3 linked regions of the Xenopus tropicalis genome follow. The protein of the gene in region 3 binds, or shares a complex with, the protein of the main gene of each other region. Links are inferred from orthologs where the notes say so. Each region holds a gene or a part of one and is shown on either strand. Other genes may lie near its edges. The genes, in order: stk11, strada and cab39.

Region 1 (7,635 bases), on a different chromosome or scaffold from region 3:
AGCAAAGGTCTGATTGGTTGCTATGTGGAGCTGCACTGGTGAATTTAACTGTTAGTATATCAGCCCCTACAAAGTTTAAATGCATGTCAAAAAGTCTCCAGCTTACTTGGCAGCTTACAACAGGGGAGCACACGTGCTATGGTCTAGCAAGACAACTGATAGACCTGCAGGGTCAAATTAGGTGGACCTGCATCTGATTGAGGCCCACTGGCTTTGTGGATCTCACTTAGAAAGAGTATAACCATTCAGTCAGAATTGTTCCCCCACTGCTGCACAACATCTTGATGCTCACTACCCATAGCACTGCACGTTTTACTGCAACAGTTGTTCCTATATTCCTTTTAATATTGGAACTTAAACATTCATAGACCCAACTCTTGTGCCCCAGTGTACTGTGCCCCTTTGACTTACCATGTAGAACAGTATCCCTTAAAGACAAATCTGCACCATGGAAATTATAAACTCTCAGCGTCCTGTCACAGTACAGAGCAGGAACCAAGCAACAATAACAGAGCAGAACAAATAGAGGAAGGTATGAAGCAACACCCATTATGTCAGCATCACAAAAGGTAATGTTCCTGCTCTTATAGGATTTCATACATTATTAGAGAATATGTAGTTATCACATGACTCAAGTTCAGAAAAATTCTGTCCAAGGGGTAAAGTACTTTGGCAAGTCAAATGGGGTCTTTAAAAATGTAAGTAAAAATGTCCAGCAGTTACCTACTTGGGTTCTGATTGCAATAGGCCCAACTTTAGTGGTTATTGCCCTCTAGTGGCAAACATGAAAAGTACACTAAAAAAAATCACCCTATCTTAAGAGGTGATTAAAGTACAGCTGCCCTGATACCATGTAAAAAAGCAAGTATTATACTTTTTTGGTCAAATATTGGGAGTAGAGGCAGGAATTACTAAACGCCAAAAAAAACATGAAAAAGTTTTTTAAGTAACTGCTACCCTTGAACAAAAAAGCAGTACAGCTGAGCCAGATCCTTGTGCACACCTCCGCCACACGTGCAAGTTCCAATAAAGGAAAAAACTAAAATAGAAAGAATTGGGCAATGAGGCAGAAAACTTTTTATTGTCCAATATTGATGTTAACCACCATGAAACTATCAAAGCATTTTTTTTAGTAAAGTTGAGCAGGGACAAAAGTGTAAGTCGATGTCTGATCACTTGTTTCTGCTCCTGAAAAGATATTTTTATCCTTATTTATCACTCAACCAGTCATTAATAACATTGCCGCAGTTATGTTCTCTGTAGTGATGATGTCACAAATTCTTCTCATGGGGCTGTGACAAAATGCTGGAAGAGTGGGCCAGATCACCTTTCAAATCCCTCTGATATAGACATAGAAATAGGACCTAGTAAATCCTCCAGGCAATCCCCTTCTTACTGCAGGTGCTGCCAACACAGGGATCAAGAAGCAGCCCAGAACAGGATAAAAAAAAATCAGAGTAGGTGTAATGTTGTTCCATCCATCCCTGTATGAATGTTAACTGTTCCTTTTAATATGCATTAGCAGCTTAGCTGCTATCTAAGATCTCCATGTGGGTTTTCTAGTTCTGCTACATCTGTGTACCAGGTTATCACAGTAGGCACCAGAGGCAGTGCTTAAAGTAGTAAACTGAGCAGCAGGATCTGAAGATTTAACAAGATGACAGCAGGCAGGACCAGTCTGGGATTCAAATCAAGCCATGGCATTTCAAGTACACGGATTAAGCATTTTTAAGTACAAAGATTACTAGTCTGGGCCTGACATCAGTGGTAAGAACAACCAGACACACCCTTATAGGAACCCAGAACTTTTGGCTGCAAAACCGACAGGGAACCTGCACACTTCAGTATTAGGAGAGGAGAGTAAAGAGAAAAATATAACTATTTGTCAATTTCACCCAGTCTTTGGACCATGAGGCAACTGTGGAAAAGAAAGAGCCTAGAACACAAGATTACGTTTGGTTTAGTCACTCATTACTTTCTCTTTCTTAAATTAGCCCTTGTTTTGTCTCCAAACTGAAATCTGCCCCTTTGTTTTACAAAAACACTGAACCCACAGAAAACAAAAAACTAAAGATGAATGCTATCTGGCCCAAGTTCGCACAAAAACGTTCCCTTTTAGTCAAATTCAGAAAAGAGGCTTTAATGACAGCAGGTATTGCGGGAGAACAGGAAAAATTGTCAATTTTTGTGTGTACCCTGGCACAAGATATAAAAAATAAATTGTACTTTTCGCCTCTTTTTGGAGTATTTTCTTATAATTTTGCAAAGTGCTGAAACTCCAGTGATAGCAATTGGGCTACTGCCGCCTGCACCCACTAAGTTAAACAAGGATGGCTCTGCGGGTAGTGGGCATTGCTGGCAACCACACGAAAAAAATAATTTTTCCTACATAACTTCAAAAAAGCAGAGTTCCAACCACAGGAAAACTTTAGGGACACGATTTAGTGTCAGCCTATAGCTTACGGCTTATACTGCTTGATACTTATGTACTACGTCCCCACCCCACATTCCCCCTGACGGCTACGTGTAGCGTCATTACGCTTATTTACGTGTGTGACGTCACATCTATCGCGAGATGAGACTTGTGATGTCTGTAGTAGCTGTCCGGCAGGAGTCAAGGAGCTAGACGTTAACGGCGCTGCGGGACTTTTGAACAGCGAACCGGGACTGCAGGCTGTACTAAGAAAACCGGGATTGTCCCGGGAAAAGTGGGACTGCAAGGAGGAATGCTGTGTCCTTCAAGTATGGATGAAGGGGGGTCACAAGAGATTGGCTTTTTGGGAGACCTGTCAGTAGGAATGGACACTTTCATTCACCGCATTGACTCCACTGAAGTGATTTATCAACCTCGCCGCAAGCGTGCCAAATTGGTTGGAAAGTATCTGATGGGGGACCTTCTGGGGGAGGGTTCTTACGGGAAAGTAAAGGAAATGCTGGACTCTGACACACTGTGCCGCCGTGCTGTCAAAATCTTGAAAAAAAAGAAGCTGAGAAGGATTCCCAATGGAGAGGCAAATGTCAAGAAGTGAGTTTACTATTCCCCTTCCCATCTCCCCATTTTTATTTTAAAGTGTTGCCAAAGGTAAGGAAATATATGGGAGGTTATACTTGAGAGATACTGTGTTACATGTAAAATGTAACTGTTATTTAATAAACCACTCTGGGCTATAACCATTGGGAGAGAAGCTTTGCTGGGGTCATTCATTAGGATCAAAAACTTAAAAAAAAGTTTGAAAGTTACCCTGCATTTCCTATGAACCTTGCAGCATGTAAAGGTTACCTGGAGACTGTACTCAACAAAAACCACAGGCAACAGATATCTGCTTTTAATCTGAGCATTCCCTAGTTTCAGGGGACATAGTGCAAGAGGCATACACATTTGCTAAGGGGGTGGCAGTCCCCTGCAACAACTATAAAATGGGAAGCCACAATCAAAAGAAATGCTCTGTGATTTACAGATCAGTGACATTACGTTATAGCAACATGAGACAAGTAGCCCAGTACGTTATTCCATTTCATGGCTTAAGTCATATGGTTGAATGTTGCAGTTGTCTACTTTAGATTGCATTAGATTTTTAAACCGTTTTTTTACTTGTCTTCATGGCATTAAGTTGTGTAGGGTGCTTTAATCCTAAAAAAAAGAAAAAGAAAAATTGGCCCTGCACTATAGTTTCAGGGTGCACAGTGTGTGATAGTAATCATAACTAGAAAAAATTCCTAAGAAGGGAAGACACACAAAACATTTTTCTGGCACACTGTATACCACAATTAAAAATTGTATCTTTATTTCATCACTTAAAAACTTTGGTTAAAACTTTTGGATAGAAAAAAAGTAAGAAGGAAAGTTAAAATCTAATCTCTATTACCCGGGCTAATCACAAAGTTTGTATCTACTGTAACAACCCTTAACTTCAGTAAACGCTACAGTTGCAAATCCCTTTAGGGAAATAACGATACCCGCTACAACTTTAATCCTGACATTAGAATGCCTATTATATGTCTGACTAATGAAAGACAATGCATTTTGGAGTCTGCTAATTTGTAGGTACCCATGCAATGTCTACTGAATAGGATGTAACGTTGTCCCAATTTTGTGTGGTAACTGACACTATTCCATGTATTTCCCACACTATTCCATGTATCTCAAATGCCTATGTGTCCTGTTACAGCAACTGAATTAAAGTTGATGTTTTTATGTGGGAAGAAAATTGTTTATTTTTTCACAAGTTGCAAGGCTGCAGTTTTTGTTCATGTCTCAATATAATCAATATACTTGTAATCACAGTACAGGTATAGGCTCTTTTAATCAGAAAGCTCTAAAATATGTTGACGTAGAACCCATTTTAAGCAAACTGTTCTTATTTTATTAATGAAATAATATGAAATAATACATATACTAAATGGTAGCTAGGTTGCATGAAACCATGTTGGTGGAAAACAATCCTGTTGTGTTTATTTAATATATTAAGGGCTATGGGCATTTTTAGTTGATTTTGATCCCTGCATTTTTTGGCAAAAAGAAGAAATCTCCTACTAACCAGCCTCCCAGACTCCCACCTCTCTCCCCTGCAATCAATTTTAAACTCTGCTGCCAGGATCCTCCTGCTCTTTCCTAAGAGGGAACCTGCTCAGCCTTATTTAAGCTCACTAGCATGGCTGCCTGTTAAGCAAAGGATAGCTTACAAAATCCTTCTGCTGACATTCAAAGCCCTTCACTCCTCTGCTCCTCACTACATTTCTTCACTGGTCTCCCTACATGTTCCTGGTCGTCTTCTCCGCTCCCCTCAGAGCCTCCGTCTTTTTACACCATCCACACCCACTGCACTCTCTCGTCTTAAACCTTTCTATCTCTCTGCTCCTTACCTCTGGAATTCTATCCCTGAATCCCTCCGTAGGGAAAACTCACCCACTCTCTTTAAGAAAAAACTCAGCTGTTACCTTCTGGAGCACTAAAACATTATTTTGCCCAGTCCTGCGCTTAAGGGCAAATGCCCATACCTGGTGCACTCTTACCTTCCAGTTTGTGCCTGTATGTTACCCAACCACTTAGATTGTAAGTTCTACGGGGCAGGGACCTCCTTCCTACTGTGTCTCATACCACATGGCACTTATATATATATATATATATATATACATACATATATGTATTTATTTATTATATCACTCGTCCTCCCTGTGTGTAATTTTGTATTCTGTAAGACTGTACAGCGCTGTGTACCCTTGTGGCGCTTTATAAATAAAGTTATACGTACGTACGTACGTACGTACGTACGTACGTACGTACGTACGTACATACATACATATATACATTTGTATTAATTGCCAATCTAGGCTTGGTTTCTAAAGTGTATGCTCCTTGTCAGCAGAAAGTAGCTGGATATGGCACCCACTAGCATCCCTTGTGCAACCTTGCCTTTGAAAGGCTAGTCTAAAGGAGCAGGGCCATTCTGGGGAGAATTTGTTCATCCCTTTTATTCTCTGATCTTGACTTTTAAAACAGTTATCCTCCAGTCTGTTAATCAGCTGACATCTGCTACATTGTTTTAAGAAACAGAACTAGAATTGCAGAGAACAGCCAAACCTGTAATGCTTTTTATACCAAAACATTTACCAATATATTTTTATTAATTTATATTGAAAAGTTGATAGTATTACACTTTGCTTCATTTTACACTAAACTGTTTTGGGGTGGATTTCTCTCTTTAAGTAAAATGAGAGGATGGAACAAGGAATCCTTTTTGTGTGTATTTGTGACTTTCTACAGAACTTTAAACTAAAGTAACTGCAATTTGTCCCTTGTAGGAAAAAACAACAACAAATGCCCATTAGTGTAAATAGCATACAGCCTTTACCCGTGTCAGCTAATCTGACATAAACATTTGAATGAAAAGTCAAACAATTTTTAAAACCGTATTTGTAAAACCAAAATAGGTAATCAGGGCATAAATAACATCTTTAAGTAAAATACACCCACAAGTTCCTACAAGGAATTTTTAGTGTCTACATACATCCAGGCTTTTAGTTGTCATAAGGGTAGTATTGAATGGGGCTGTTTATGGCACTTTAAGTATTGTATCTTTAAGTAGTCCACAAACTTTGTATTAAAGCACCTGAAACAGCCCCCATATATTTTCACTGCAATAACCTGACAGGCACTCATACCAGTGCTTTTCAGGCAATAGTTGCCTGAAAGTGGCACTGTTGTACGTAGAGAGCATATTAATTTTAACATTTTTAAGGGCTGTCCAAATTCCATATAAATTGAACTTGGTTTTTCTAATGGTGGTGGTCATTCTTATCGTCACCGCCCATATATTAACTATATGCCACAGAGTGCCTCAACTTTAGGACCGAATTGTCACTGCTCTCTTATACAGTGACTGACTCTTCATGCATTCTCCTCAGCATAAAAAACATTTTGTATAACAATGTTCTGTGGGCAGGAGCTTGTTGCTTCTTAGAACATATGTTTCCCCCACACTAACTTTCTGTTTGACAGTTCCCTGGGCAAGCTTGTTTTTGTTAGGATTGCAGAACTCTAAATAAGGGGATATTTCCACTCACTCTAATAGAAAACTTTTAACAGGTGCCAGTAGGATTTGAATACTGTGTGCAGAAGTGCACAGATATTGGCAAATGAGCTGCTTCAAGATTCATCTTGAATATGTATTATAATAAATTTCTTATCTTTACATGAAGAAAAGAGTTGTGCACATTGAAGATGAGTTTAAAAAGTAGTATTGTTTACCCAATGTGTGAATAAATATATTTGGGTCAAGCAAATTTCATTTTTTGTTAATAAATCAGAACCCAGATTTTATGTTTGCCTGGAAGTTTGTCTGTTAAAATCTCATAGCAAAACTGGAGTTCTACTTTAAAGGAGACGGAAAGGTAAAAATCACTGGGGGAGATTGTAATTGCTTTCCTTTTTCCCCAGGCTGGTTCTCCTCATAGGAAAAAAACACACAAGCCCGGGGTAGCTGCAAGCCAGCAATCCTCTTCTTTGCACCAGTTGCCCAAGCGCAGTAGAGTGAAAAGCCAAACTTTGACAAAAAAGCCAGCCTTTTCACTCTACTGCATACTCGCAGGCCTCGGAATCCAGAAGACAGAAAGAAGAGGATCACTGGCTCACAGCTAACCCGGGCTATTGTGTTTTTTTCCTCACAGAAGCACCAGCCAAGGGTAAAAAGTAAGCGATTACAATCACTGGGGGGTTCCTAACATTAAGCCGTGATTTTTACCTTTCCTTCTCCTTTAAATTGCATATTGGAGTACTCCGGCTGCAAAGTAATGATGCCTTTCATGCAACAAACACCTATGCAGATTTAGTAGTGGAATTATTATTTGTATAGTAGAATTATAATGGATATATTATTTTTATAAGTCATTGAAGTCATTATTTTAAGTAGCAGCTTAAAAGAGGAGTAGAGAGTTGTTCTAAGACCACTGACATACAGGTTAGATAACACAATCACCAACATCGAATCACACTGGTTCCATTGAACTATTTGGGTAGATTAAATTAATGCCTATAGTTCAATGGAACCAATGTGATTGAATGTTGGTGAATGTATTACCCATAAGGGCTTAAATGTCAGGGAATCATAAGTACCAAATCATTTATCATATTGTTTT
Region 2 (7,596 bases), on a different chromosome or scaffold from region 3:
CTCAGTCTAGAGATAATAAGTGTTAAAGATAAGAAACAAGACATGCACAATAACAAAGAAATTGGACAGGAAGGTCATGATCTACTTAGAATACTGAACAATTCTTTTTCTGGCCTGAGTGGACTTTAAATCTTTACATTTTGTGCCACTTGCGACAGTACCCAGCCTGTGCTCTGGTCCCAGAGAGTATGCAATGAGGTCAATTCCTCTGTGAAATGCCAATAGCACCCCATTCCCTAAGGAGTAGATGTGGAGGACCCCCACTGGCTGGGGAATGGGCACAGGCAGTTTGTTGTTCTTTAGACAAAGTACGGTATTAGTATATGTTTTACTATCCCTCACAAGAGCAGTAAAGATAATTCCACTTTCTCAAATCAAAAGTATAATCTTAAAAACACTGTACAGGCCAGCTGCCCAGTAGTCAACTTTGTCTAACCTGCAGGAAGGTAACCATGTCATTGGTGCAGAACTCCAAATTCACCCTCCTGATACATACATATTCTGCATTTGGCCTGTAACGAGCTAAATTTACAGTCATCAAGTCGTCAAATCCTCTACCTAAAGAAAAGATAAAAACGTAAATAAATTAAAGAGCAAACAAAATTTAACATTGTTCTTTTCCATACCTTGTCTGTTCTATAACTCACCTATCACAGTAAGCAGTTCATAACAACTGCTGTCCGGGGTGTAGATCCCCATAGTGTTGGGACCATGGGAGGATGCTACGGATTCAACACTCGCTGCTTCATTGGTCTGAGATCCGCAAGGAGAATGGCACCCAACAGGAGGCAAAGGGAGACAAAATGAGACGGAGAAATGGTAGAACCTTCATTTTGATTGATCAATGACATGGGGTATATTCAAAGAATGGGATGAACTGCATTAAAACTGTGTGGATGTGGATGGGGGAGTAATACTCTACTTTCATCATGCAGCCATATAAAGGCAAAAAACTGCAGGCCTTATACAGCTAACTATTCTTTGCATTTCAACTCAGCACAACAGGACTTACCCCTGCTGAACAGGGAAGCAAAGCATTGCTTGTTTTGCTATGTAGCCGATTGTTATAGCTGATACTACTATTTATTCTGTATATGTGTACATGGTCACAGGGTTGGTCCTCCAACATAAATGTGTAATAGAAATCACACAGAGTAGTATGTAACTTATATTTAGTAAGGCGAAGATCAGAGGTGCCCCAAACCAGCACCTATGATTTTAAATATGTTTACATCTTAGATCCAAAAAAATATTCTTCCAAGCCTGTCTATGTTTTTTTTTCTGGCCAAGATACATGTTTAGAATGGGAAAGTGAATGCTGAGGTGACTGGCCATTTCTTAACCTAACACAGAAGATTGTGTAGCCATTTATAAAAATGAGCATAAGCGATGGCAGTGATTTTCTTCCCTGAATGCAAAAATATATAGGCAACTGGTACAGAGTACAGAAATCCGGTAAACTAACTACATCTGACCTCCATCAAGTATTTTTAAGCAGTATGAGTTTCTGTCAAATGGGGAGCAAGGTGCTTTCACTGGGGATTGAAGCATTGTAAAGAGCTGAGAGACCCAATGTAGTAGTAGCAAAGGTGGTTGGGTACGGTACTAATCTGTATATTTTACACACACAGTATACAGTTTGTATCTCACAAACAACAAAACATGGACAGTGGCATAAATCTCATAAATACAAAGGTAACTAATACAGCGGGCCCCTAATAACCTGGGCTTCAGTAACCCTTTTTTGGGGAGAGGCGAAGTCATATGAATGGACTTTATAGCAGAAGAAAAGATGCATTAGCACGATTCTACATGGACTGAAAGGGCACGGAGTCCCACAGAAATGGACACATGCAAATGCCATTCGGTCATGTTCCAAATACAAAGCACAAGACATGAGAATCTTTCTGTACATGAATCACTACAGACAACGGAAGGTGCATAATGTCACTCCACCAGCTAAATGTGCTTGCTCTAGGCAAGGACCAAAAACTTTTGCAAGCTCAGAAATCACTGGATGACACACCATGAAATTGAAATGGCACTACTGTCACTATATGTTAAGAGACTGGCAGCTTATCCCGTGGCCTCCATTGTCCGATCCCTGCCCTACAATATATAAAAGGGGGGAGCTTCCATATTTGAACACATGCACATAAGCTAGAGTGTACGTTTAATTAATCAGTATCATATATAGGTGTTATATTACAGTTTTTGAGACATAAATGGTTTACTAGTGAGCTCCTCAGCCAATCATTTGTCTTTCTTGCAGCATCAAACCTTATTGTGATGTCTGGAACATGGGCATTCCAAATAACCTGGTTATCCTGACGCTAATAAACTGAAACTCCCATCAACCTTTACTAGTCAGCCGGGAAACTGTGAAGCTTGACAGCAAGTAAAAAGGGACTGGAATTAAATGTTAATATCGTGGCTCTGTGTATTTGCACTGCTGGGTTACCTTTCTGCTCAGTGTCTTTAAAATACTTTCAGTTTCAAGCTACAAAATGTTTTTTGTGCTCTCCTGTGCAGTGGCTTTTATTGCATATTCTACAGGAGTTAACAGACCCCATTCTTCTCTACGGGGACTGCACCTACAGGACCACACTGAAAAGCCAAATGCAGATGAGACACAACATGCAGGGTTCCATATGCATGACTTCAATGAATTATAGGCAAGGGATGAGACTCTCCTCCACACCAAAACCGCCAGTCATGAAGAGGCCTACATGCAACATATACACACAGAATGAGCAGAGAGGGAAAGTCCCACTTACTTTCCTTTGAGAGTCCCCTAAATGCGAGTCTGGAGGAAGGGAGAGGATTATCTGCTCAGCTTCATGCAACAGATTAACATAACATAGGCCATAATTATCATAACTAATTAACTGGAAAGCTTGCAATTTACTGTAAAACAATGGCACAACTAGGGATTTTGTGCATTCTAGACCTCACTGATATTTTAATGTAGAATTAAAGACTAAAAATTAATAAGACTAGAGATGCTGTATTTTATATACCAAAACCATTGTTCCAGCAGAGAGGTTAGAACTCTATAACAGTGATAATCAAGGCCTTCAAAGTTGTCCAGAGGAGCTTCCCATCTTGAATGTTGTTAGACCAGATTTTGTTTGTCAGTGACACTGCACATGCTCAGTGCGCTTTGGGCTGCCATTGAGTAGCTAAACTTAGGGATCGTTAGAAATCAACAGGCAGAAAATTGGGTTTGCCTGTCAGAGAAACTGAAGCAGCAGGGTTGATTACATTCTGACGCAGAAACCTCTGATTTCTGAGCATCTTCAGAGGCGCAGATATTAATTTCTAAAGGGCTGTGGTTGCCTTGAGCTAGTAAAGCCCAAAACATGTAACAACTGCAGCCTAACTTTTTTTGTCACGCTTTAGTTATCCTTTAATACTTCTAATAACCTTTCTAATGGAACAAGGCTTTAATGTCAGAGTATTTGTGATCCTTTAGTCAGTAACTTTTCAAACCCCTACAAATTATGACCGGCATGGAAAAGGTTGCTAAGATACCATCCAGGGATGTAGCCTATGCAAAAATTAGTAAATAGCGCTTGTCAGAGTAAAAGTTGCAAGAGCAGCTCACCTCCAAAAAACTCCAGCTCTCTCAAACCATCAACCAGGATCTTGTCTGACACCCAGCGCTGCGGAAAGAGGAGAATCACTGTAGTAATCCCAGCAATAGAGCAAGAGCTAGCCCTAACTAGGATCTTTTGCACGGCAGAATGGGTTTAAATGTATCTGTAAAAGGCATTAAGTTCTGACTCTTGAAACAATGTCAGTTACGCTCTAGGCCTGCTAATCAGCTGCCTTCCACTGCACTGTTTCAAAGTCAGAACTGGCCATGTGCCTTACAAAAAGACCTTATTTAGGCAAATGTATCTTCCTTGGTAGGATTACTTACAAGAAAAGACATGGGGTCCTTTTAGTGCTGCCCGGGCGTTCAAAGGCCATAAACTGTACAGTCTAAAGATAAGAGACATGACACATATGGGGTGCGGCAAAGCCAAGTATTTCATGTGAAAACCCCGCCTAGCAGCTCTTGTCATCACACAGCCGACACTTGCACAGCCGACACTTGCACACCTGACACAGGCTAGCTTCCCTCACTATCACTGCACCAGCGTTACGCTACAGGGTCCCCTTGGCTTTAATAAAACAGCACTTCTTTCAAACCTAGTGTTTTTGCTTTGAAATGCCAGTTCTTAATAATGTAAGGTATTACAAAATCCAGGTGGCCCCAAAGTGTTACCCTTGTATATGGAATTTTATAAATAAGGTTGTCCTGGTTGTCAATGCACAATGCTCTGTTCATTTAGACTTCATCAGTACTCCCACCCAGGGGGGTAACCCTGCCAGCTGGTAACATGCAGTCTATGCAAGCCAGGTTCCACATGCAACGTGTGCCCCAAGTCAGCTCCCTCTAACTCTCATAATCAGCTCTCCCCTTCAGCTAGACTGTTTTGGCAGTCAGAACCAGCAGTGCAGCATGCTGCAGCTAAAAGTCATGATAAAGTATCTTTAGCTTACATTTAGCAGCCCCTGTTTAGGTCAGAGGTATAATGGGTGCCTATAAGTGTGTGTATGACAGTATACCCTGCAATGCATACAACATGATGATTTTGCCCCCCTCCCTCAGCCTCAGAGGCGCAGTTAATAGCGCCAGTAACAGCCCTTATGTATAGTACTAGAGCCGTTCCTATATTCCTGCCAATGAGCGGGTACCTGGATGTGTAGTGGAGGCTTTATTTACGGTAGCGGCTAGTTCCTTTCCTCGGAAGGGACCTTCGTGACGTCACGGTCATGTGGTAATACCATGTGACCGCTCTATTGCGCATGCCCCATTATTGCGCGGTACGTTCAAATACGCAGACGTGCTAATGGTTTCTACTGGCAGATTTTCTGGGGGGGTATCAACTCTGCCTGTGATTTTCTGGGGGGGGGGGGGAGTATCACTGTGCCTCTGATTTTCTGGGGGGTATCACTGTGCCTCTGATTTTCTGGGGGGGTATCATTGTGCCTTTTGTTTTCTGGGAGGGGTATCACTGTGCCTCTTATTTTCTGGGGGGTAATCACTGTGCCTCTGATTTTCTGGGGGGGGTATCAACTCTGCCTGTGATTTTCTGGGGGGCGGGGTGGTATCACTCTGCCTGTGATTTTCTGGGGGGGTATCAACTCTGCCTGTGATTTTCTGGGGGGGGTGGTGGTATCACTCTGCCTGTGATTTTCTGGGGGGGTATCAACTCTGCCTGTGATTTTCTGGGGGGGGGGGGTGGTATCACTCTGCCTGTTATTTTCTGGGGGGGTATCACTCTGCCTGTGATTTTCTGGGGGGGTATCACTGTGCCTCTGATTTTCTGTGGGCCTTGGGGTGGGGGGGGTCACTTTGCCTCTGATTTTCTTTGGCCTATGGCGTGGGGGGATCACTGTGCCTCGGATTTTCTGTGGGCCTTGGGGTGGGGGGTGGTATCACTGTGCCTCTGATTTTCTTGGGGGGTATCAACTCTGCCTGTGATTTTCTGGGGGGGGTGGTATCACTCTGCCTGTGATTTTCTGGGGGGGGTGGTATCACTCTGCCTGTGATTTTCTGGGGGGGTATCACTCTGCCTGTGATTTTCTGGGGGGGTATCACTCTGCCTGTGATTTTCTGGGGGGGTATCACTCTGCCTGTGATTTTCTGGGGGGATATCACTGTGCCTCTGATTTTCTGTGGGCCTTGGGGTGGGGGGGGTCACTTTGCCTCTGATTTTCTTTGGCCTATGGCGTGGGGGGATTACTGTGCCCCTGATTTGCTGGGGGGGTATCACTGTGCCTTGGATTTTTATTTGGCCTATGGGGTGGGGGGATCACTGTGCCTCGGATTTTCTGGGGGGGATATCACTGTGCCTCAGATTTTCTGTGGGCCTTGGGAGGGGAATCACTGTGCCTCGGATTTTCTTTTGGCCTATGGGGTGGGGGGATGACTGTGCCTCTGATTTGCTGGGGGGGTGTATCACTGTGCCTCGGATTTTCTTTTGGCCTATGGGGTGGGGGGATCACTGTGCCTCTGATTTTCTTTGGCCTATGGGGTGGGGGGATTACTGTGCCCCTGATTTGCTGGGGGGGGGATATCACTGTGCCTTGGATTTTTATTTGGCCTGTGGGGTGGGGGGATCACTGTGCCTCTGGTTTTTTGTGGGCCTTGAGGGGGGGAATCATTGTGCCTCTGATTTGCTGGGGGGGGTATCACTGTACCTCGGATTTTCTCAGGGGGTATCACTGTGCCTCTGATTTGCTGCGGGGGTGTATCACTGTACCTCGGATTTCCTTTTGGCTATGGGGTGGGGGGTATCACTGTGCCTCGGATTTTCCTGGGGGGGTATCACTGTACCTCGGATTTTCTCAGGGGGGTATCACTGTGCCTCGGATTTTTTCGGGTGGGGTATCACTGTGCCTCGGATTTTCTGGGGGGTGCATCACTGTGCCTCGGATTTTCTGGGGGGGGGATCACTGTACCTCGGATTTTCTGGGGGGGTATCATTGTGCCTTTTGTTTTCTGGGAGGGGTATCACTGTGCCTCTTATTTTCTGGGGGGTAATCACTGCGCCTCGGATTTTCTGTGGGGGTATCACTGCGCCTTGGATTTTCTGTGGGGGTATCACTGCGCCTTGGATTTTCTGGGGGCGGGATCACTGCACCTCGGATTTTCTGGGGGGAGGATAACTGTGCCTCTGATTTTCTGGGCTGGGGGGTATCACTGTGCCTCTTATTTTCTGTGGGCTTTGGGGGGGGGGGGGTGAATCACTGTGCCTCTGATTTTTTTGGAGGGGTATCACTGTGCCTTTTATTTTCTGGGGGGTAATCACTGTGCCTTTTATTTTCTGGGGGGGTATCACTGTGCCTTTCATTTTCTGGGAGGGGTATCACTGTGCCTTTCATTTTCTGGGAGGGGTATCACTGTGCCTCTTATTTTCTGGGGGGTAATCACTGTGCCTCGAATTTTCTGTGGGGGTATCACTGCGCCTCGGATTTTCTGGGGGGTATCACTGCGCCTTGGATTTTCTGGGGGGGGGATCACTGCACCTCGGATTTTCTGGGGGGGGATCACTGTGCCTCGGATTTTCTTTGGTCTATGGGTGGGAGGATCACTGTGCCTCTGATTTTCTGGGCTGGGGGGTATCACTGTGCCTCTGATTTTCTGTGGGCTTGGGGGGGGGGAAACACTGTGCCTCTGATTTGCTGGGTGAGTGGATCACTATGCCTTTGATTTTCTGTGGGCCTTGGGGGGGAATCACTGTGCCTCTGATTTGCTGGGGGGTATCACTGTGCCTCAGATTTTCTTTATGCCTATGGGGTGGGGGGGATCACTGTGCCTCTCGGATTTTCTGGGGGGTTATCGCTGTGCCTCGGATTTTCTGTGGGCCTTGGCATGGGGGGATTACTGTGCCCCTGATTTTCTGTGGGCCTTGGGGGGGTATCAGTGTGCCTCGGATTTTAATTTGGCCTATGGGGTGAGGGGATCACTGTGCCTCTGATTTTCTGTGGGCCTTGGGGGGCGTATCACTGTGCCTCAGATTTTCTTTTGGCCTATGGGGT
Region 3 (7,725 bases):
TTGAAGTTTTGGGGTTACTTTGCTGCCCCTGGAACTGGGGGACTTGAGTCTGTGCATGAAATCATGAGATCTGGAGATTACCAATGCATTCTGGAGCACAATATTGGAAGATAGGTCATCAGATCATGAGCTTCCAGCGACCAAAACACCCTTCAAAAGGCCCTGGACTGCACTAAGTGGCCAACAACGAGTACAATCTAAATCCAACTAAACACATTTGGAGAGATGTGAAAGCTGCAGTTGGGCTTAGGCATCCCTAAAATCTGGAAGAGCTGGAGTAGACTGCAAAACAACAAGCAAATAAAGCTACAGCATATACAGTTAACGGCAAATATTTCATTTCCTTTTCAGCTTTTTATGTAATGCCTTCCCCTCAAGCTTCCCTGACACATCTTGCTATTTATGTGCAGTTAAAATCTCTGTTGATAAACCATTTTATCTAGAAATATTTCAGAGGTGAAACAAATAGTAAGCTTATTACTGGCAGCACTTACCATTGCTTTGAAGGATGCTGGGAAACCTTTCAATGTGGTGATAATATTGTTTGTATATCCAAAACAGGGCTGTTTATTATTTTTAGAAGGGTTCTCTTTTGGGTTGTGAATGAAAATGTTAGCAGAAGATTAATGAGGCACAAAAGATTTTGTGTAATGCTCCAGCGGCCCAAGCTGTCTGTGTGCCCCCTCTAGATATGCCTGTTTAGCATTATTAGCATTGTTACATATGAACATATCATAATTTTTTTCGATGACTTAAAAACCCCTAATTTTGTGGGCAATTATGAATAATATATGGTGCTGGTTTCACATTGGTCTAAAATTGAATATTGTCTGCAAAAATGGCCCCTTTATTGGAGCTCCCTATAGATCCTATAAGTACTCTGTCAGTAATTCAAATGAAGGGTGGGCGTGTCCTAATGGTCTTTGCAAAGGGGAAGAAGCACTCCAGTGTGTCGGCAATGCCTTTAAATCATTTATTTGCAGAAATGAACAAACAGCACGTGTCCTAATGGTCCCTGCCAAAAGCACAGCAGGGGGAGGATAGCCAATCACAGCCCTGCACTCACACAAGCAAAGACAGGCTTCTGTTCCCTATCAGGTCAGTCTAACTGCTGATTGGTTCCTATCTTACAGTGCAGTGTACTGAGAGCCGCCGGCTCCCCTGCACATCCAGAGAATTCAGCCAGCAGGAAGTGGAACAGATGGGCGGGACTAGTAGGGTTTTGGTGGAATTTCTCAATAAATCAGTCCAAAACACTACTTTTTTAAGCACAATCCTTCTATATCTAGAGGAGTATAATTCTTAATTTTTATATATGTCTCCTTTAAGGTAGATCTCTGTTTATCTGTTAAAAAACTGTTTCCCCCACCACAGACATGGGCTAATAGAGCCCATACTCTAGATCAGTGCTGTCCAACTGGCGGCCCGCGACCCCCCTCTGTGTGGCCCCCCACCTGTCTGGCTGCTTTGATGGCTTACCTTTGAGTAAGCATTAAATGGTATCAGTACTGAGATTAACTGGCCCCCTGCATGGCTCACACCTCAGATTCAGGCTGTAATCCCTCTGTATTGTTTAAAAATGTAATCCCCTGTGTTTTTCACACCTTTTAATACCTGCATTGTTCACCCTCTGCAGTGTTCACACCTTAGGCTCAGACTGTAATCACCCCCATTGTTCACTTCTTCACACCTCAGACATAGGTACTGTAGGCAGAGTATGGCACATACAGCCAGCATAGGGCAGGTAGAGTATGGCACACACAGGCAGCATAGGTCAGGGAGGGTATGGCACACATAGGAAGGGTAGGGCAGGCAGAGTATGGCACACACAGTCAGGGTAGGGCAGGCAGAGTATGGTACACAGAGGCAGCATAGAGAAGGCAGAGTATGGCACACATAGGCAGGGTAGGACAGGCAGAGTATGGCACACACAGACAGCATAGGACAGGCAGAGTGCTGCCTGTGTGTGCCATACTCTGCTTGCTCTATGCTGCTTGTGGGAGGTGAACCTGGCAGGGGTTTGTTGTGGGAGTTTGTTAGCAGTTGGAAATAGCCATTAAATGGTCCCTAAGGTGTGTAATTATGTACTGGGGGTTGCTCTGCTATCCACAGGGGAGGAGGAGGCATATGGAATTTAAGGGTATATCTTAATATGACATAATTCTTTCACATATGAATGATGGTTGATATCCCCACAGTAAGGACCAAGCATTTGGGATTTTGCTGTGTTACCACCATTGTGATAAAATAGGTGTGGTTTGAAGTGGGTGTGGTTTCAAAAAGGGGAGTGGTCAAAACTGGCTTCCATTAGCGGCCCTCCACCATGTATGCTAGAGAAATTCCGGCCCTCGGCACCGTAGAAGTTGGACAGCACTGCTCTAGATGGATGAAACAATTCATATTTTGCAGCTGGAGGGAGCTCCTGGCATGGTGGCCGCGTTGGAGCTCATGCAAAGGAGCTAATACCCCATCTCACTCATTATATATATGCGTGACGTAGGATTGATGCATCCCCTGATCCAACAAACGAGCTGGGGAATAGTATTATCCCTGGGGAATAAGGTGCTCCAACATAGCCACACGCACCTGGAGATCCCCGAGATTGGAGGGGGGCAGCAATAGTGAGGGGTTCTTGGGAAAATACTAGCTTTTACCCCATTTGGAGTGCAGATTTTATTAGCAAACAATTTTTATACGATAGGAGCAATTAGACAATTTGAACGTTCCCCCTCATTCACGGGGCATACTTCCTAAGCCTTGTTTGTCAGAATTTACTCAAAACAAGATAAAGAGTCATTCATTACATCACAAATTCTATTTTTAAATCGATTAGTGTCAGCAACACTGTCTCTTATAGGAACCTTCACAGCTTGCGTGCTCATAAACATGCTCTGTAATACAAGCACCACTCAGCAAGTTTTTCTCAGATATTTTCCTACTGGTGTTTCAGTTACCTGGTTGTGCTACCCAATTGTATGCCTAGGGTGCCAATAAAGTTGTCCTTGTTTAAAGATCTGAGAGAATAAAATAAGTTCCGAATGGAATAACATTCTTTAATGTCCAATAGTGACACAAAGGAATAAGGAAGCCTATTTTTGTCCTATTGGCCATTTATTAAAATGGTCTTTGACAAATGTCTTTGTACATCTCTGCCTACACAAGAAATGTTATAGACCCAGGTCTGTGGGTTACAACTCCGCGCTGTATTCATACACTAGGATGCCGCCTGGCCGGTGTTATTAATAGGGAGGAGTAAGCATGCTGCCCGGCTGATGCTGCAGTTCTTTATAGGAAAGAGACAAACAGAAGGGCGATGAGTCAATGCTTATAATAATTTGCTGTGTTGTTTGTACTTCTCCTCGGACACGCGTTACAATAGTTCTAAAAACACGGTACAAGCTAATCATCTGTATATTCTGTCCCACGGCCACAAAGGCGCCCTCAACTGCCCACAGAACGTATCTCTCCCCAAGCCCGAACTACACCAAATTGGCACAGTCAGTTCTCCTGCAGTCCGGAAGTCGCTACCTTAGTGACGTCATGCTATGCGCCGGAAAAGGAACCTTCTGGGCCTGAGAGCACCATAGAGACGGGAGGAGCCGCCCGGAGTGACCCGAAAGGAGAGAGACCCTCCTGAGTGACCGGTAACCAGGGGCACCGGGGAGTGATCTGGAAGTGAAAGGATCCTAGTAGAGGCCTATCCTTCTTGGCATCTTGGCACTGAGCGGAGATAGGGAAGCCCCGAGAGAGAGAGAGAGCCGAGAAGAAAGAAGCCCACAGACACTCTCCTGTAACCAGAGGGGCGAACCCAAGTGATTCCAGAGAGGGTGTGTCCGTCACCTGCAGCGCTGTAGCTCACTGGTGTGTAATGTCCCTTCCCTGTGCAACTTGGTGCCGTGTGTGTGTGTGTGTATGTGTATATGTGTGTGTGTGTGTATATGTATATATATATGTGTGTGTGTATGTGTGTGTATGTGTATATGTGTGTGTATGTGTATATGTATGTGTGTGTATGTGTATATGTGTGTGTGTGTGTGTGTGTATGTATGTGTGTGTGTGTGTGTGTATGTATATATGTGTGTGTGTGTGTGTGTGTGTGTGTGTGTGTGTGTGTGTATGTATGTGTATGTGTGTATGTATATGTGTGTGAGTGTGTATATATGTGTGTGTGTGTGTATGTATATATATATGTGTGTGTGTGTGTGTGTGTGTGTGTGTGTATGTATATATATATGTGTGTGTGTGTGTGTGTGTGTGTGTATATATATATATGTGTGTGGGTGTGTATATATATATATATATGTGTGTGTGTGTGTATATATATATATGTGTGTGTGTGTGTGTGTGTGTGTGTGGCCAGCATCTCACTGCCTGTGTAGCCAAACGTGCATTATTATGATATGGTGTGTGCTTGTGGCAATGTGCCTGCTGCTGCTGACTTTTAGCTTTTGGAGCTTGCCAGCTGGCCGCTGTTTGTTGTTCTATGATAACATTATACTGGCACCTGTCAGGTGTGTTTGTTCGGTCAGGTCTTTGCCTGTCAGTCTGGGGTCGCCCACCTCTGCAGCCCATAGAATGGCATGCTACTGGCTCCCATGGCACATCCTAGGCTTTTATTGTATCTGCCACCCATCACTCCCATTGTGTTTAGACTAGGCAGGTAACAATCTGCCTGTAATATTCATTACCAGTGGCCTAATGTGCTACTTACTATAGCTGTACTGGCATCTGTCAGGCTTTAGTGATCACATCATCACATCCTTTTAGTGACTTCCTCATTAGCTTAAAAGTATTTATCTTACTGCATAAATTCTCTATACTATTTTCTTTCTATCGGCACATGCCCACTCCAACAGCCAGCCATTTAATTGTATGTATGTATGTATGTATAACTTTATTTATAAAGCGCCACAAGGGTATGCAGCGCTGTACAATCTTACAATATACACAGTTACACACAGGGAGGACAAGTGTTATAATAAATACAATAAATAAGTATAAATACACAGGGAATAAGTGCCATGTGCTATGAGACACAGTAGGAAGGAGGTCCCTGCCCCATAGAGCTTACAGTCTATGTAATTCTTACATGGGCAGCATTATATGCCTTATATGCAGTGTAAACAAACCACTCTGTAAAGTCACAAATAACAAATCTTACAGACAATTAAGATTATAATATACAGCATCATGTTTTTTTTATTAGTGCCTAGACCTGCTGTAGGATATTGGGGCGTGCTGGGAATTGTAGTTCACCAGTCTTTTCAGGATGCATCTTGTGAAGCAATTTCCTGTTTATTGGTACATAACCCATATGCCTGCAGTGAAATGTTTTGCATCATCCATCTATGAAATGCAGTTTGATCTGGTATTTAGGATCAGTAATAACAATCTACAATTAGTATTGATGTTGGTATTTACAGTTTATGTATGTGAGTCTATAGATAGGTCGGTATGGATCTGTGTATGTGCGCTGGGGTTCGCTTGGAAGGGTTAAACTTAATGGACTTTTTTCAACCCAACTTAATTATGTAGCTATGATACCATGCCATAATATTCCTGCGAGTGTAACAAACTTTATTTTCAGTGTGCATTGCATAGAATGTCTATAAATGCTGAGTATTATTAAACTGAGCAGCATTAATTGTTTTATATATGGAATTGGAAGACTTTTCTTTACCCTCTACCCTATTAAGCTTATTTGCATCACAGTCTTGCTCTGTATGTTGCATGGTTACTGTTCTAATATTGCCATGTTGGGATTTCAGGTCAATGTAAATACATTTTAGGAGTAAGTAACCAATTAGGGTTTAACCTTGAAGACAAAAATAAGGCTTAAATATGCTCATGATGTTCTACAGAAAAAAAGCTCAGTCAAATACTGTTAGTAAGTGCCCCTTAGGCCCCTCGGGTCGTAGGTGACCACAACACCACCATTCTTACAAGATGAATTCAATTCATATATAATTGATGGTGGTGGACAAAGTACCTCAAGCTCCTTTCATAATCTCCCATAGATTAAATGCTATATTTGTCCAAATATTTCTGATCTACTATTCACCACTGGAATAAAAGCTTTTGAGCCCTTTATTTTTGTGTGTCCCATGGCATGACTGTTAAGAAATCCCTATGAACATGTGTTCTCTGAAGCACTTTATTTGCACAAGTGTAAGTGTGTTTGTGCACTATATCTCAATCATTCTGTCCATCTGGGGGAGGTTACTCCAGAGGTTGTTCTCTTTCTAACCTGACTCAGAGTTGCCTGTATAGTCTCGTTTTTCAGTGAAGTAATATTAGTTGTGAAGTATGTGCTTTTGTCTATAACTCATAGCCAATGATTATTAAACATCTACAAATTAAATTTTCTTTATCGCTATAGCTATTGCCAAGCTACCTCATATATCGCTTCTTTCTCAGGCTCCATTTTTATTGGTGATTTTAAACATGTCCACTGTTCTCCGAGCTCTCCACTCCTTTGGTTTGCCTAGCATTAGCTTCTCTTGATTTTTCGCACCTCCAATTTTCCTTATGACCTTCTTCTGTTGTAATTGTCCTTTGGTATACCACAGAGTTCAGCCTTTTCTTTGTATCTCCTCCCTTGTAAAATATAATAATCCCCTGTAATGTTTTACTTTGTTTCTGCTGATGGCACTCATAGTAACATAGTAACATAGTAAGTTGGGTTGAAAAAAGACATACGTCCATCAAGTTCAACCATAATGCCTATACCTAACCTGCCTAACTACAAGTTGATCCACTCATATCAGTCTTTACTTTTCTGAGCTATCTCTTTTCTTAATTATCAGTATCCTATGGTTATCTTTGTGCTCCATTTGTGTTCTTCTCAATTGGGCCTAAACATCTTTTTTTTTTTTTTTTTTTTTTTTTTTAAGCCCAAAATGCATACTTACATCACTTTCTTCTCCTATGGTGTATCTTTTGTGTGCCCTCACTTAGCCTTACTGATACCCTTCTTCATCTATTTACCCGTCTTCATCTATTTACTTCAAAAACTCTCTGCTGCCTACCCAAGTGCCAAGTGTTGGTACAGTTATAACCCCTGTGCCTTAGTTGCTGCTAGGTCAGAGCAGGGCCATCTACAGCACATCACTTTATTATCCTTGTGTGCAGCCTTACAGTGAGTACATTCTTTGTGACACTGAGATGCGTAGCTGAGATTAAGAAAAAAACACAACATTTGAGAATAATGGAAAAGAATTATTGAAATTTGAAGATGGCCATATTATATTGGCATACTAAGAACCCATAGAGCTCTTGTACAGGCTGGGGCCACCCTTTTAATTGCCTATATGTGATGCGTATTATTTGCACTTAGGAAGTCAGGAAGAAGTGTTGAATACATTGGGCACTATAACAAATTCTTCTTCACAGTTTGCCTTTCTGAGGATCTGCTGCTTTAATCATCTGTCTCCCCAAAGCCCTTCTGTTCTGGTTTTTACACAATGTACTAATAGGTTGGTATTGTAAAAAGATAGATATTGTGGGAACAAGAAAGAGAACAAATGTCAAATCAAGCAGAATATGCACAGATCATTAAACTGGGACACAAAGGGAAACTTGCCCTGGTCTCTAAAAAATCCCTGGTAGTGCTTGGCTCTTTCTCGATGATATGTGAGATTGATGTTGATGCACCACCTCACAGTCAGCCAACCTCCATTACCCCTGTCCAACAGGGGCAGTTGAACCCTGCTGTCCCCATGTGTG

What was found.
Region 1: the proteins of cab39 (region 3) and stk11 are in contact, whole or in part, in a crystal structure (PDB 2WTK), measured with the Homo sapiens proteins. The link is inferred for Xenopus tropicalis from reciprocal best matches to the Homo sapiens genes CAB39 and STK11. Residues at the interface, in NP_001124321.1 of Homo sapiens: Gln109, Gly111, Thr112, Lys196, Leu197, Leu238, Asp239, Arg240, His241, Phe243, Met246, Ile250, Val280, Ala283, Asn284, Pro285, Glu317, Gln318; in NP_000446.1 of Homo sapiens: Gln100, Arg103, Arg104, Glu165, His168, Ser169, Gly171, Leu201, His202, Pro203, Phe204, Ala205, Ala206, Asp207, Asp208, Phe234, Arg301, Ser307, Arg310, Lys311, Lys312.
Region 2: the proteins of cab39 (region 3) and strada are in contact, whole or in part, in a crystal structure (PDB 3GNI), measured with the Homo sapiens proteins. The link is inferred for Xenopus tropicalis from reciprocal best matches to the Homo sapiens genes CAB39 and STRADA. Residues at the interface, in NP_001124321.1 of Homo sapiens: Leu26, Glu27, Lys28, Gln29, Tyr55, Gly56, Thr57, Asn58, Ala85, Asp86, Gln88, Leu89, Phe92, Glu93, Lys96, Arg107, Glu138, Leu141, Ile145, Ser176, Thr177, Phe178, Asp179, Ser182, Asp183, Glu221, Asn222, Tyr223, Val224, Arg227; in NP_001003787.1 of Homo sapiens: Pro64, Leu104, Glu105, Cys107, Ser108, Asn109, Val112, Gln116, Leu119, His120, Lys123, Leu124, Phe125, Asn126, Thr136, Phe137, Ile138, Asp140, Asn141, Leu143, Tyr185, Met189, His223, Gly224, Arg226, Val426, Asp427, Asp428, Trp429, Glu430.

The regions. Positions count from the first base shown.
Region 1 is NC_030677.2:100,090,769-100,098,403, reverse strand, and holds the start of stk11 (serine/threonine-protein kinase STK11), read left to right. Parts: upstream 1-2,608; 5' UTR 2,609-2,726; coding exon 2,727-3,025; intron 3,026-7,635. UniProt on the Homo sapiens protein: Tumor suppressor serine/threonine-protein kinase that controls the activity of AMP-activated protein kinase (AMPK) family members, thereby playing a role in various processes such as cell metabolism, cell polarity, apoptosis and DNA damage response.
Region 2 is NC_030686.2:17,095,443-17,103,038, forward strand, and holds the start of strada (STE20-related kinase adapter protein alpha), read right to left. Parts: upstream 4,857-7,596; 5' UTR 4,747-4,856; intron 3,988-4,746; 5' UTR 3,938-3,987; coding exon 3,926-3,937; intron 3,666-3,925; coding exon 3,608-3,665; intron 2,807-3,607; coding exon 2,778-2,806; intron 754-2,777; coding exon 648-753; intron 559-647; coding exon 437-558; intron 7-436; coding exon 1-6. UniProt on the Homo sapiens protein: Pseudokinase which, in complex with CAB39/MO25 (CAB39/MO25alpha or CAB39L/MO25beta), binds to and activates STK11/LKB1.
Region 3 is NC_030681.2:128,014,363-128,022,087, reverse strand, and holds the start of cab39 (calcium-binding protein 39), read left to right. Parts: upstream 1-3,313; 5' UTR 3,314-3,861; intron 3,862-7,725. UniProt on the Homo sapiens protein: Component of a complex that binds and activates STK11/LKB1. In the complex, required to stabilize the interaction between CAB39/MO25 (CAB39/MO25alpha or CAB39L/MO25beta) and STK11/LKB1.